Rhinolophus ferrumequinum: one gene and its partner. The protein of the gene in region 1 purifies or fractionates together with the protein of each later gene. This does not show direct contact. Links are inferred from orthologs where the notes say so. Each region holds a gene or a part of one and is shown on either strand. Other genes may lie near its edges.

Region 1 (7,767 bases):
GCTCCACTAGTTCAGGGTAAGAAACACCCCGAGATCAATGCTCAAAGTCCATCAGAATTGAATTCCTGATTTCTGACCATTTCCATAAAATGTATTTATTCTCTATTCCTCAGGAGCCAGCCCACCATAACGACTGCTACCCATGCCGGGTATTAAGCATAAGTCAAGGGAAGGAACAATCTTTGCAATTTCTAATGAGTGTGCATTTTTTTCCAGGCTTTATCTTCACAAGGGTTGTAACTACATATCTGCTCTCAAGAAGATGGTGATGGATAATGGTAGGGCGAGACCATCTGAGGTCTGGGGTTCTGGGGTAGAGATCTACAATGAAAGATAAAGCGCTCTACACTTGAAACAATCCACCCTCCCATCTACCTCACCCCCAAACACACATGATCTTCTGAACTGCTCATTGAGTACCAAACAGGCCAACAGTGACATTTCTGCCAGGTCATCTGCAAAACTGTTTGAAAGTAAGTGAAAACTAAAGCAGCAGCTAACAATACGCTTATACCTTGAATGCTTCTTTTAAAAAAGGCCTTACATCCTTCACACGACCAGACTCCATAGTGATATCCCGACGCGTAGTCGCTGCAGACTGCACAGAAGTGGGCATCCCTCTTTGAACGTGGACTAGTAACAGGGCTGGCACAACTGTTCCCACTAATCTTCCTTTTCAGTGTCTCTCTGGAGGCAAAGAAAACATTCATTGGAAAAGAGCATTAAGGGGAAAGGAGGAACTTTCTAGGGAGAAAGAAAAGCAGCAAGAACATTGCCCCATTTATCTCTTTGCCCTCCAGGGTTTATGACAAATACACTCCAGGAAATCTGCTAAAGCAAAACCTCTGTTACTGAGATCTGTGAAGGGTCCCATTGCTGGAATGACTGAGGTCTGCAGGTGATTAGGTGAGTTTATGCCCTTCCATGCAGGACTGATGAGCACTAGTGACTACGGAAGACCACTTGTAGCCATCGTGGTGCACAGCTTTGCATGGGATAAGTGACCAGATTGAGTCCTGCCCACAGTTCTGAACCACGAGTAGGTGTGTGGAGGCCTTCCGAAGTTACCGAAGTTCACCGACATGCACGGAGGGGCCTAAACTCACCTAACCACGCCCACGCATCAGGCAGTCAATCCCCACAGGGCCCTCAACAGCCCTTCAGAGTTCCCAGGTAACCTGGGATTCAGAATTCATTCTGCAATTTAAGATAAAGGTCTAGGATGAAAAGAACTTTAAGAGGAGTAGCAAATGGACTTTAAGTTACATTGAGGTGAATGCTATATTCTGGTTTAGAGAGGGGAGGAAGGGAAAGGAAGGGAAGGGAGGGGAAGGGAGCAGAAAAAAGGGAAGAGAGAACAGAAGGAGACAGAGTGAACACACGCGTGTCCTGAGAGAAGGCTTTGAAGAAAGCAGGTGCTCATTGCCGAGTGGAGGGGCAAGGACTTCCGTAGATGAAGGGAGAGCCCACGAAAGGAGCACTGGGAGGCCCCCAAAACACACCCGTCTGGTTCCTGATTTCCCTGGGGTTCATTTCTTTTGGAAAGGAAATAGTAGAGGTGTGACTGATCTATAAATGAAGGGAATTATACTATGGTTTAAATTACCCAAATATTAGCAGAACTCTGATTAGAGCTCATGCTCAGAAACCAAACTTTTCTTCCATGAAAGACAATGAAAACTTTTAAAAAAGCTATGTACAATTTCTATATAGTCTTTAATTTTGCCAACAAAGTTCTTTAAAAGGAAGAAAAAATTAAAACCCTGTATAATATGGCTTTCTCAAAGCTTTATGACAGCATTTGAAAGTAATGAACTTCAATATCCAACATGCTGTAACTTAGACTTTGGTTGTTTTAGAAGTTTACCTCCCCCTCATGCGTCTCCCTATACCACCCCTTCCCTCCATAGCTATAATTATCATTAAAAATATTACGAATTAAATGGCAATAACCACCGTGTTACCTTGCATTTAAAGAGTATAAACAAATATTCTTTTTAACTTCTAAAAATTTCAACTAAAGTCTACATTTAAACAGTTTCCCATCAATCTCTACAAAATATTATTTTAGTCCATTGTTAAAAAGTTAGTATACCAATTGTCTGTCTTTTCAGGCTTCACGTGTCAAGTATTTCATTTAAGTTGTAATACTGCCACAGGTACTTATATCCTGGATGCAATCTGTCATGAACACTAACTTGTGATTTCACTACCAGATAAGAAGGATTCAAACTGAAAGCAAAATAAAAATGTATTTTTCAAAGACAAATCACTTCATCAAGAGAAATGTGATTTAAGTTCAATCTTTATTGTTTAAAGACAGTAGTCATGATAGTGAATTCTCCCCCACCACACAAATCTACAAGCTCAACTTTTTAATGACAGCTAAAATATCAGGATAGATATTCTAGAATTCAGAATATCACGCTTTAGATGCTCTGAGTAATCTATATGACTAATAAAAACCTTGTATATACACATCTTTCTTCTCACTAAATCATAAAGTGATTTGAATAATGCTCATGAAATACAATTCAGAATGAAGACTGGATTTACCTGTTTACAGGTAAGGTGTGTTCTAATGATCTTGCTTCACACCAAGGACTCTTTTGAGGTTCTGCATACAGAAGTGATGACTGGCAATGGATTGCTAACGGAGAGAGGTGTCCAGGAGTTGGCCACAACACATTTGGGCTTGTGGTCTGTCGACTAGGTCCACCGTCCGAGTTATCAACACTGCTGGGAAGACTGTAATTCATCACTGCAGGGCTATAGAATGCCATGGCTGAATATTCATGGTGGCTCTCCACATACGAGGAAGGTATATATAGGGGGCCGTGCTCCAGGGGAAGGACAGATTGACCGCAGTTGTAGGAGGCAGGAGAATTAAGGCTAGATGGTGAGTTTTTGATATCCATGTCTTGAATGGGTAATATCTGAGGAAACTCCTTGCGAGAAGAGCCACAAAGCGACATTGTAATGTTCTCAAAGTCTCATGAGCAGGTATAATGGCTGGAAAGAACAACAAAGGACAGTTCTAAGTTAGTTGGAGCTACAGGCATACCTGTTCAAAGTGTTCACACATTTTTATTAAACACATACACGCATTTGTATGAACTTAGAAATACATCCTGAAAGATATACATGAAAATATTAACCTCAGAGGGATGGGAATATGTGGCACGGAACTCTCATTTTCTACTTCATTCACTTCTTTATTGCTTTTGTTGTTGTTAACCACAAGAATATTTTTTACCATGAGAATTTGTTATAAAATGCTTTTTAAAATTAAAAACACAGGGTTAAATTAAAATGTCAATAAGTTGTCTTCTTTTAATATGGAACAAGTTTATTTTAAAGTTCTTATGAACAAATAAACAAGAACAACCAGGAAAACTCTGAAAGAGCAGATCAATGAGCAGGACCAGCATTAATAGATACTCAAATACACTGTGAACTGCCAATAATAAAAAACAAGGAATAGACAGGTCAATGTAACTGTGTCAGTTATCAATTCATTGTCTCTCAGCTTCCAATGCACCCTTCAATATATGCTCTATAATAAATGGAATTCCTGTAGTATTTAAAGTGAGCCAATGCTAAACTTTTTCAGTAGAGGGCGCTGCAGGAGTACTGTAGCAAGACGAGGGTGGCAGTGTGGGTCTGAGAACATGCAATGGAGTCTGGCCCAGCCACGTGTCCACAGGGAGGTCCCACTGCAAACTTTCGGCCTCTGTGTGGTGATAAACTTTCCACAATCACCTGTCCAGACTGTGGCCTGAGGAGTCACATGCTGAGAAGTCATTCCCCCTGCAAGCCTCCTCACTCCACATGACCTGCAATTCTGAAGGTCTTCTGCCCCCATGGGCACCTGGCCTCCTGGGGTATGCCCACACCGCCAGTCACTGAGCACCCGCTCCCGGCCTGCAACTCCTGACCAGCTCCAGCCTGGCTAAATCAGCGAACATCTCTGCCAGTTAATGGTCCAACCACCTTCCCCCCTGAGGTCTGATCCCTTCTAAGTTTGTCCTTCCTTGGGTTTGCTCTCTCAGCTCTAGGGTACCATATAAAGTTTCCTTATATCTTATACTTAGTCCCTTACCATAGGTAATTAATTATAAGTAATTCTTTATATTAAACCTCCCCTGTTCAACCTATTATGTGCTTTCTATCTTCTGATTGGGCCCAGACTGCTACATAACAGAATGGAAAATCCCAAAACAGCAAAACCAAAATCTCAAATGTTTTCAGAAATTTGGTATATGATAAAGGTGGCATCTCAAATCACTGGGAAAACAGTGGGCAACCGAATTGCCAGTGGAAAAAGAATGCATGTCAGAATAAACTCCAAATGGTTCAGAGATCCAAATGTTAAAAGAGAAATGGAAGGAAGGGGGAAAAGGGGGAAAGGACAGGTAGGGGCTGCACGAGTGCTGGAAGCAAACAAAGTAAATCCCTTTATAAAATGGGTGTGGGGAAAACCTTAACTATGGCTAAAAATCCAGATGCAATAAAAAAGGATGTACATAAAAGCACATCAATTCAGTACATAAAAGTAAAACTTGGCATGTCATAAAAACACACAATAGGCAAAGTCAAAAGACTAATGAAACTTGGAAATAAAAATATTCTCAACTTAGATTAGAAAAAAGGGGATAATGTCCCCAGTATATAAAGAGAACCCTTAAATTAAGATTTTAAAAAAAAGACAAAAAAATACACTAGAAAAACAGGCAAAAGACACAAATAGAACATACACACAAAGAGAAAGCAAAACACATAAAAGGACGCTCAATCCCATTCATAAAAGAGATACAAATTAAAATTTTACCAAGATACCATTTCTCATTTATCATGTTTGGAAAAAATTCAAGTATTTGACAACAGATTCCCTTGAAAAGGCTGTGGAAAACAGGGACTCTTTCCTATGTTGCTGGTGGGAATGCAAAATGGCACAACCCCCCTGGATATTTATATATATAGTAATATAAATAGCAATATATAGCAAAATTACATATACTTTTACCCTCTGGGCTATGAGTCCATAGTGTTAATCAAAAAAAGAAGAATAGAATCATTTATTACCATCGATAGTGATTGATACACCAGTTCCTCATTCTGAAAATTAGTAATTAAGGGGAAAAATTAAGCCTGTACCCTGCCTTTTAAAGAGGCTCTGTAGAGGGAAACCCCTTACAAAAGAATGCCACCTAATAAAAAGAGTTCAGAAAAAAAATATTTGGATGGATAACTAGATAGATAGATAGATAGATAGATAGATAGATAGATAGATAGATAGATAGATAGAGATAAGTCAAAATGTTAACAATTATTGAATCTGGATGGTGGACATATGGACATTCATTATGCTAATCTTTCAATGTTTCCATAAGTTTGAAATTTTTCATAGGAAGCTTTGGAGAAAAAACAAAAAAATACAAGATTAAAAATGGAAACCTTAAAAAAAAGAATAACTGGAATAATATAATGTGGAAAAGGGAACAATAGATGACTAATAAATAATGAGACTCCTTGAGAGAGATCATTAAGTAAAGAAACTTGCCTTGAGAAGTTCTCCATCTTTAATATCTTCAACTCCAGCTATCACCTACTTCCATATGTAGGCAACTTAGCTATCTAAGGCTCTGAATTACCTTCCTCGTGACATTTTCATTTGAATGCTTTTCCTCCATTTGTCCTCAAAACACAATATATCTATGGTGGTTTGAAAATAGCCTGCAAATTCTTCAACACTTCTCCCTTCAAAAGGTGTCGCCTAACCTCCCCCTTGAGCATGGACTAGATTAATGACTCATTTCTAATGAATACATTATGGCAAAAGGAATGGTATGTGGCTTTCAAGACTAGGTCATAAAAGGCATTGCAGCCTCTTCCTGGCTTACTCTGTTGGATCTCTCACTCTAAGGAAAAGTAACTGCCATATTGTGAGGACACTTAAGCAACCCTATGGAGACGTTCTGCTAACAGCCAGCAAGGAACTACCGCCTCCAGCCAACAGCTATGGGAGTGAGATACGTTGGAAGCAGATTCTCCAGCCCCAATCAAGCCTTCAGATGACTATAACTCTGGCCAATTATCTTGATTGCAACCTTATGAAAAAACCTAAGCTGGAACGACCTAGCTAAGCTGCTCCTGGATTCCTGATTCCAAAAACTGTGAGATGTTCGTTGTTTAAGTTGCTATAAAAATTCTATGATACTTTGTTACAGAGCACTAGTTAATTAATACAATATCCAAAGTAATATTCATCATTTTCCTCCCCTAAACCACTCATTTCCTATTTGTGTTCATGACAAAGCCCGTTACAGTTACCTTTGACTTCTCCTCTTCATCCAATTACCTTGAATCACCAACGCATTTTTTTACCCACTTCAGAGTATCTTTTCCCCACTCTGTCTTCTGCCACCATCTGAAAGTTCTCATTACTTCTTATCTGCGCATCTGTAACAGGCTCCTTATTACTCCTTGTCCCTAGTTAGCTCCTTCTCCAGGTCCACGACCGGCCAGGTTAACATTCTTAAAACCCAGCTCTGATCAGCCCTCTGCTTCCCACCAACCTCTCTAGTAAGTCACACTGTTCTAACATTCAAGGCATTCCACTATGTTGCCCCAACCCATCATTCCACTCTGATCTCTTGTTATTTTCCTACAGGAAACCAGCGATGTCCTTAAAGAATATGCAAAATGCACTGTTGAAGTAGTTGGCATTTTATGCCTTAGTACTTCTTTCACTCTTAGCACCCCTATAGTTATTTACAAACCAATTTAATCCTTTATATTAGATTACAACTACATTGAATCCTTCTTGGAAATGGTAGAGTTGGGATGGGAGAGAAAGAAGTAAGTACAAGTTAGATTTTAAACTCCTTGGAGGCACACACTATATTCACCTTCCACTACAACTCAATAAATATTTGTTATAAGCAAAGAATATGAGGAAATGAGTTTAAAATATAAGATTTCACCAAGTCAAGGCTATTAATCAAAGATGGGAGCACTTTCAGTAGGCGTGCTACTGTGCTGAGACAGGAGAGCTAAAGGAGTCCCAGGACATGGACCCTGCCTCAAGGAGCCATCGTGCCAGGTAAAGGAGGCAGAACGGCCCAGGTAAAGAAGAAGGACCTAATACAAAAGTGCTACCTACCACTTCTAATCAACATTGATTGACCACAAGGGATAGGAGAGAGATTGGTAGCTGGAGAAGAATATAGGATCGAGGAATTTTTATATATATATATTTTTTACATCTATGGGCATTTACTAATCATGAGTATATAATTTCGTGTTTCAATTAGATGCCTAATCAACATAACTCTCCCTGATTCCTAAGAGAAAATATGCAGGAAAAAGCATATAATGCTAGCTACTGTCAAAATTAGCAGTTTCCAAATTTTTTAATTGTGGTAAAATACACATAACAAAATTTACCATCTTAACCATCTAAGTGTACAGTAGGGTAGTATTAAGTACATTCACACTGTTATGCAACCAATCTCCAGAACTCTTTTCATCTTGTAAAACTAAAACTCTACATCTGTTAAACAACAGCTCCCCCATTTTTCTCTCTCCCCAGCCCCTGGCAACCACCATTTAACTTTTTGTCTCTATGGATTTGACTACTTGGTACCTCATATAAATGGAATCATACAGTATGTGTTGCCCTGTCACCTGTTTATTTCACTTAGCATAATATCCTCACGGTTCATCCATGTTTTGTTGCATGTGTCAGAATTTCCTTTCTTTTTA
Region 2 (7,983 bases), on another chromosome or scaffold:
TCACAGGGCTTTTATTCATTGTTTTGCATCTGTATCAACTGCGGGTCACCGATTACTTCGAACCTTGTTCTTCTATACATGCCTCCCTCACTTTTAGCGACAACCTATACCTCTCAATCTACTTTAAAAGACCAGAGTTCTCTGGCTCTTCTCTACAATCACCACAAAAATGTTTCCAGTCATTTCTCCTGATCTCAAACTTTCTACTTTCAAACTATCATCTTCACGTTCTTTGCTCATTCAGGGAAGCAGGACCTTTTACTTCACCCATTTCTGAATTTTGCCCCATTAATTATCATAAAAAATTTTACCTCCTTTTTCTGGTCTCTTCAGAATCAACAAACATGACATGTGTCTACTATGTGCCAGGAACCATGGTGGGGCTTTCACATAAGCCATCCCACCTCATACTTTAAATCCTCTGGTAAATTGGACACTTAAATCAACTGTACATTTTACCATAAAAATGTCTTAACTGACTGATTACTGAGAAGGTGGATCAGGGGACTGAGCAGTCCCAGTATACTTCTACCTGCACCCAAAGCACAAATCCCAGTTTCAGAAGCACAGCGAGGAGCTCTTGCCGTATTCCTCACAACATTTAAGTGACTACTTTGAATGAGACCTTGTCCTAGGCACTGTGAAGTACAAAGGTGATTAAGGTACTCATTCTGTACCCTCCGTTCTAAACATCTCCCCTCCATCTTCCAAAAGCTGGACTTTGAGGGCGCAGCTTAAAAGCTACTGCCACCAATATGATCTTTCTGATTACTCTAGCCAGACGTATACGGGATGCTGTTAAAATGAAGATTTAATTTGAACCTTTAACATTTGTGCATAGTTCTCTTTTTGCTTTCTAAAGTAGATGCTTCCCAAGGGCAGGATCGTTGCTTATTCATTTTATCTCCACAGCACCGTATGTAAACAGGGGTACTCTGGGTATTATTGTCATCTGGTTCCAGACCATTGCAATAAAGCAAGTCACATGAATTTTTTTGGTTTCCAAATGCATGTAAAAGTTATGCTTATACTATACTGTAGTCTAGTAAGTGTGCAATAGCATTATATCTAAAAAACAACGTACACACCTTAGTTACAAAATACTTTATTGCTAAAAAATGCCAACCATCACCTGAGCCTTTAGCAAGTTGTAATCTTTTTGCTGGTAGAGGGTCTTATCTTTAATATGTACAAACAAACAAACAAACAAAAAATATCTGCAAAGTGCAATAAAACAAAGCATAATGAAACAAGGTATGCTTGTATTTGGGTTATGGGGGTTTACGGACAGACAGTATAATCCAGATCTAGAGAATCATGCTGGATTCAAATTTCAGTTCCACCCTCATTTCAAATGTGCAACAGTAGACAGATAGGTTTACTTCACGTCTCTCAGGTTTGACATAAGTAAAAGCGTCATAACACTATTAAGTACCTCTTAGTATTATGAGAAATAAATTCAGTGTTAAGCAGTTAGAACAGTGCCTGATCTATTGTAACCACTGCACAAATATTAAGTCACTCTCCCAGTTGTGAGAATTAGAGCACACAGTAAATACCCTATGATAAATAAGTGAATAAAGAAATTAGCATTTTGAATCTTATACAAAAAATTTTAAATGTGTTAACGAATGAAGGAAATATTTTATTATAAAAATACGTTCTTAAATGTAAAAATTGCAAAAGAAAACTAAATTAGGCAGATCCAAAGGCCTTTTCCAAAAATGTCCATTACTGAAAGCACAGCAGACCCCAGACCAAAGCAGGTAGTAATATGAGGTGGTATAAGTAAGACACTTGAAGTCTTGCTCAGGAGCCCTTAACCTGGGGACTCAAGAAAGTTCATGGATGGCGGTGGGGGGTGTCTTTGTAATTTACGTAATGCTGTGTTTCTCTATGCATTTTTCTGAGAGTATCCAAAACTTTCACCAGTTTCCCCAAGGAATCACTCTCTGTTGTAGTTCTAACTCTGCCTCAATTAGCCTGTACAAACTTAGTTTTAAGTTTTTTTTAACTGCAAGATGAACAACTTGGACTTAATTCCTAAGACCTTTAAGCTCCAAAAATCTTTGAACCTGTGCTTCTTCACAAGTGGAAAAAAAAAGGGCAGGAAAATGTTTAAATATAAAACATTGACTTTCTTCCATTTTTTTCAGAAAAGGTATTTTCACACTACTGTATTTTGTTTCCTTATTATTGTAACACTCTTGTGCAAAAGTATTTCAGCGCATTTTGGGGATGAGGGTGATAATTACAAAAGTGCCCTTACGACTGACATTTCCACCAGCCACTATATTTGCAAATGCAAAAAAGCAGGCCAGTTCTATAAACAACCCTCTAACCCTTCTTTCCCTCCAGTAACCTAAGCCAGAATCCCAAAGCAGTTGAAATTCCACTTTTGACTCCATATACACTTTACTTTCTTGCTTGCTTCTCTGCTTAAGTCCATAACTTGTGGTCAGCACACACTATACCAGTAATAAAATAAGTTCAACATGAATGCAAGACCAGCTGTCACCGTGTCAAGGGCAGAATGAGGTAGTTTTGCCAAAGCCTTCCACGAAGTTCGTTTTCGGCCTCTTGTATGTATTTCCCTACACCACGGACCCCGCTGCGCACCAGGAGCTCTGTCAAACGCCCTGAGCACCGGAGAAGTTAGTGACCTCTCAATTCCAGGCACGGCCTCCCCAAACCATCCGGGTCTCCGGGGTCCCACCGCCTCCTCCATCACAGATCTCAAACTGGCCCAGGACCCCGCAAGGCCTGAGGCGGGGGCCGCAGCGGGAGCCCAGACGGCTTCTTACCGCGGCCCCAAGTCCAGGAGCCCCAGGAACTGGCCTCAGCCGAAGGGGCCTTGCTCCCTCCTGCAGGGTCTGGACCTACCATGTCTCCGTCGGTCCCAGGCCGTCCGCCCTCACTTGAAACCGGCAACACAACCCCTGAAAAGACCCACCGACCCGCTGACCCGCCGACTGACTGACGTGGAACTTCCGTAAGACAGTTCTCGCGATGTAGGGGACCAGCGCGAGCGCCTGCGCAAACCAGGCGTAGGCCTTAAGTGTCCCAAGCCCCTCCCCAGTTACCTAGGCAACGGAGCCATCCTGTTGCCGCGTGAGCAGGGAGGTGTGGCCTCGGCCATCAAGGGCAGTGGCCGGGTGCTGCTGAGCCCGGACGGGAACTTGAAAGCCGAGAGATACGTAAAAAAAAAAAAAAATGGGAAAGACGAAATGTTTAATCCCTGCTGGACGCTAATGGCAGGGGAAGCTCCCCTTATAGTGAAGTTGTATCCCAGAGGCTGAGAAGCGCTGTCGGGCTCTGACTGAGGGGAGGGATGGGGAGAGAGATGAAGGCGAGGCAAGGCTCTAAGCCCACAGTATTCTGATGGGCTAGAGATAGAGGCCCAGAGACTTCTCTGCGGGCCCTGGACTTGGCTGGCGCTGATTGAGGCTGGAAAGATTTGAGCGGGACTCCGGGCTGAGCTTCAGGCCTCTGAGGTCAGAGGGAGGTGAAGAGCCTTCAGTTCTGGAGCTCCCCGGAGATGGGACTACCAGCTGCACACGATCCCTTTTTATTGGGCATCGACTGTGTTATTCATTCACCAATGTGTGTCTATCCTCAGCTGTGTGCCACATGAAATCTAAAGGATCCCTATTTTACTGATGAGGAAACTAAGGCTCAAAGAAGTTCCCTGGCCAAGGCTGCATCTTAAGCAGTAGAGTCAGTATTTGATCCCAGACCCCTATGTCCTCAAAGCCCTGTGCTCTTTCTACTGCATCCAAGTATCTCTTCATTAAGGTAGTTGGACTCTAGAATAAAGATCTGCACCACTGCCAACCACCCTTCACCTTCCATTTCTGCTTTTCTTCTTTTTTTAAATACCAGGGGCCAAATAAAACGTGTCCTCTGACTACATATAAATGAGTACCTCTGGCCTGAGGGAAGCCTTGGAGGTTTTCTTAGACCTCTAGATTTTCAGAAATGCAAAAATAAATGAATAAAAATAAAAATATCTGTATTGAAAGTGACAGTCAGAGGAAGACATGGACTCTGAATCAGTAATTTGGCTTTTAGGATCTTTGCTGCTAATATGATCTCTTCGTGGGCTTCAGTTTTCCTCATTAAAAAAAAAAAATTAGGTTGAATAATTTCTAAAGACCCTTCCCTTTAGTACCATTTTGTGTTTCCGTCATATTCAATAGTAGAAAGAAGAGTGGGTCTGGAACTGGATTTTAGTGCCTGCAGTGTGATGTTATGATATGTAAATTGAGACTAATTGAATACTTTGCTTATGCTTTTGAGGATCACAAGAGTCGAAAATTTTACAAATATGAACTATACCTAATTTGCTTGAACTGGAGCTTCCAGTATTTCTGATTCATGGATACTCTTACACTTGAATAAGTATCTTCAGACTTTGCACAGTGCCAAATAATACAAAATAAAGTGATAGATCATCTGTCTTCTCAAGGAACTAGTTGAGAATACTCAAATTCTTGTATTCCACTAGGTACCCAAGGATTTACCTAGCTGGTATTGATGAGGGGCTGAGCAATCAAGTGTCACACTCACCTTGACTATATCTTTTGTCATTTTTTCCACTACAGTTAAGTAACATTCAGTTCTGCAGTTCTGTACTGAGTAACATTCTGTACTCTAAATTCATTCTTTAAATCATTACATACTGAATTTGGCTATATTCATTGAGAAGGGTGGTGAGGGAGAAGGATGGAGAGGAAGGATGTGGCTAAAACTGAAAAGATTTTTAAATAGGGAGGAACTGGGCTTTGATTCAGTACGCAATTGGGAAACACTGGGCCAGAAAAGAAGCTGGTTCATATCCGATCCCATAAGATATGCCTTTTATAGATGTGTATGAAGAAATGGATTGGGACAGTGAGATACTTCACAGGTTTTGGGGAAGTGGGTGTGGAAATAACAGTAATAATGAATAACTTTATTGAGTGCCCACTATGTACCCAGCATTGGCACGCAGAAGCACTTTGTACGCTGCAGTTTAGATTGTAGTACCAAAATATAGGCATTTTCTCCAACTTATAGATGAGAAACTGAGAACCAAATGGATTAACTAATATGCTCCATGCCACACTGCTCAAGAAGGAGTGATGGACCTCAGATCTGAACCCAAGTCTATCTTGAAAACTAATGCTCTTTTTACCGGACTGTGAGTTCTTCCTCTTTCACTTAGAAGCTAGAATCAACAGGATACACAGATGATTGGAGTTTTTGTGAGTTAAAGGATTGGGAGGCATCCTAATGCTAATGCCTTGAATCGAATGAACCCAGAGGGAATGTCTTTAATTAGAAGAAGAAGTGGAGCCAGTAAATGACACAGAGGGGGAACAATTAGAGTACGACATCTAGGAAAACTGTATGCCGCAGAAAGAAAAGGAAGGACAGAGTCGGGGGACTAGAAGTCTAGATGACTTTGGAGAAGTTAAGGAGGCTCGGTATTTGAAAATAAAAAGAAACCGTTGCCAATGAATTAAATGATTACGAAGACAGTAGTCTTCAAAACATTTTCAGTTGAGTAATGCCAGGGGCAGCAGGTTTGCAAGGGATTAAGAAATGATTGAATGATAAAGTGGAGGTGGTCGCTATTTTACCAGAAGATTAGTTATGAAAAGGCAAATGTTGATGTCTCACTGAAAGTGGATCGATTGTTCCCATGTTTAGGGTGCAGTTAACATTACCTACTTCATGACAGTAACCCTCCAAATGGACGTACATGACTAAATGGACCTTTACAGTGTGAGTAGGAACTAACCGGACGAACATCAAGAGGGTATACACAGGGTAGTCCGAGAGAAGGGAAGTGAGAGTTTGGTTTTTCCAGAGAACTGAAAGTAGTTTAGCATGCCTGGGCCAGAGAACAGGTGGGGGAGGTTGAGAAACAGAACTGGAAAGATAGATGAAGCTCAGCTCCTGAATGTCTATGATTGCCGGTTTAAGGTGTCTGGACTTTATCCTGAAGGGAACCACTAAAGAATGTTAACTAGGGTAATCTTTATGCTCCATTACTGATTCATCATTGCATGTCAGTTATATTCCCCATTAAAGGAAATATTACGGTTATCAGCTAGATTTCTGCTTGCAGTGAATGAAAGTGAGGATTTTGACCACATAATCACATACCAACCATCAACAGACTGAATAGAGTTGGAGAACCATTGAGCTGTCTTCCAAGAATAATGAAGCTTGCGGTTACCCGACACGTAGAGGCAAAAGCTTTGACTGATTGCAAAAGCATTGAGCGACTACAATGTGCTATGCACTTCATATGATTACCACCTGAGAATTTAAAATTGGTTCACACAAATTTACTCCATGTGAGTTTGATGTGGATTCGGGATGGAAGGTATGTTTGCTTTTGTTTACCAGAAAGCATAAAAATCCAGATTTTTAGTCCTGTTTTTGGCGTGGGTGTAATTTTACCTTTTGGAAAATTGCATGAACTTCGTGTTGTTTTAAACATTTTTAGAGGAGTCAGAGTTTAAAGTGAGCTTTGAATGAAATGAAGGAGGTGGTATCACAGATAGGAATTATGAAACATGTGATTTAGGGACCTCAATAGTGTTCCATGCACCCAGACATTCTACCTGGCTCTTCACACGTGGGGTGCTAAGATCACCCATGGCAAATCATAACAAGCAGTCTCTGGAGATTTCTCTGCCCCGGGGTTGTCTTGTGCAGTGAACTGTCTGGGTCTCAGTTTCATTACCCTACAAAATAATGTTGGACAAAATAAACTCTAAAGTCCCTTCCTATTCCAAGCTTCTTTAGACTTTGGAGTCTGTGATTCTATGTTCTTGGTAATTATGTTTCCTATGAATACAGGATGTATTCATAGACATTTTTTTTTACTCCATTCATGTGAATACACAGTTCTTCCTGCATATTTCACAGCGTGCACTGCTGTTTTACTCTGGAAGCAACCTTACATCAGCCAATTTTTGTTGAGGCTTCGTTGTGCTTGGAAACATACTGTACAAACCTGAGGCCCTGGCCCTCAGGGCAAAGAACCTGGTGGGTGTGAGGGGACCAGGAGTAGAGGACCAAGTGTGCACAGTATATGAGGTCCCCGGTGAAAATTCTCTGGCAGCCAACGCTTAACTTTCTTTCCAGAGAAAAGATTTTGCAAAGTTTTACATACAACTTTACGTAAGCAAGTTGATAGGTTTAGAGCAATTATGTTTCCTCAAGAATTATGTCCTTGTAAATGACAGTGCTGCCTATAAATAAATGAATAATAATGACAAATAGCCTGGATATCTGGCATATAGCAGTTACTTTTAAATTAATTGAAAAAAATTTAATGTAAAAGTGAAATATCTGGAGTGACAAGGCACTGCACAGTATAATTTCCACCAAATTGCCCTATTTTACTTTCTTCTAAAGAATTTGTCAGCTCAAGTTGATCTAAGGGCATTACTGAATTTGAATTCAAATGTGGTTCAAGCCCCAAGGTTTAAAAATGAAGTCCTTGGGCTCTGAACTTCTGATATGTTTTTGTAACTGAAAATGATAATCGAAATCATATTGAGCTACATTCCTACAAGGTTTTTCATTTGGTGTCAAAGCAACTTCACATTGATAGTGCTGGATTCATTCACTAGAATCCAATAAAGGTATTGTCTCTAAGAAGAATAAATTGTTTCTTTTGCAAAATATGGCCATACCTTGGTGCATCCGACATTGACAGTGAATACAGATGTAACTCTATCTTGAAGATGTTTCTGTATAAAGTAATTGTTAATTGGATCAGACACACACACACACGTACCTACACATGTAGGGAAAGTCAATATCCGAAGGAAGTGGAAGGAGGTTACAGGTGCTTTTGTTTATTTGTATTGTCTAACTTTTCTATTATAAACTTATACTGTGTAATCCAGAAAACAAATTATTTTACCCAAATATAAAACGTAGCAAAGGAGCTTGTCCTTTGAAGGAAGGCTATTTTGA

What was found.
Region 2: the proteins of ESR2 (region 1) and COPB2 purify together in Homo sapiens (affinity purification with mass spectrometry; 3 studies listed by BioGRID and IntAct, with this or other methods). This does not show direct contact. The link is inferred for Rhinolophus ferrumequinum from reciprocal best matches to the Homo sapiens genes ESR2 and COPB2.

Annotation. Positions count from the first base shown.
Region 1 is NC_046289.1:31,538,586-31,546,352, reverse strand, and holds the start of ESR2 (estrogen receptor beta), read right to left. Parts: upstream 3,019-7,767; 5' UTR 2,976-3,018; coding exon 2,557-2,975; intron 688-2,556; coding exon 515-687; intron 1-514.
Region 2 is NC_046300.1:38,297,383-38,305,365, forward strand, and holds the start of COPB2 (coatomer subunit beta'), read right to left. Parts: upstream 3,021-7,983; 5' UTR 2,887-3,020; coding exon 2,884-2,886; intron 1-2,883. UniProt on the Homo sapiens protein: The coatomer is a cytosolic protein complex that binds to dilysine motifs and reversibly associates with Golgi non-clathrin-coated vesicles, which further mediate biosynthetic protein transport from the ER, via the Golgi up to the trans Golgi network.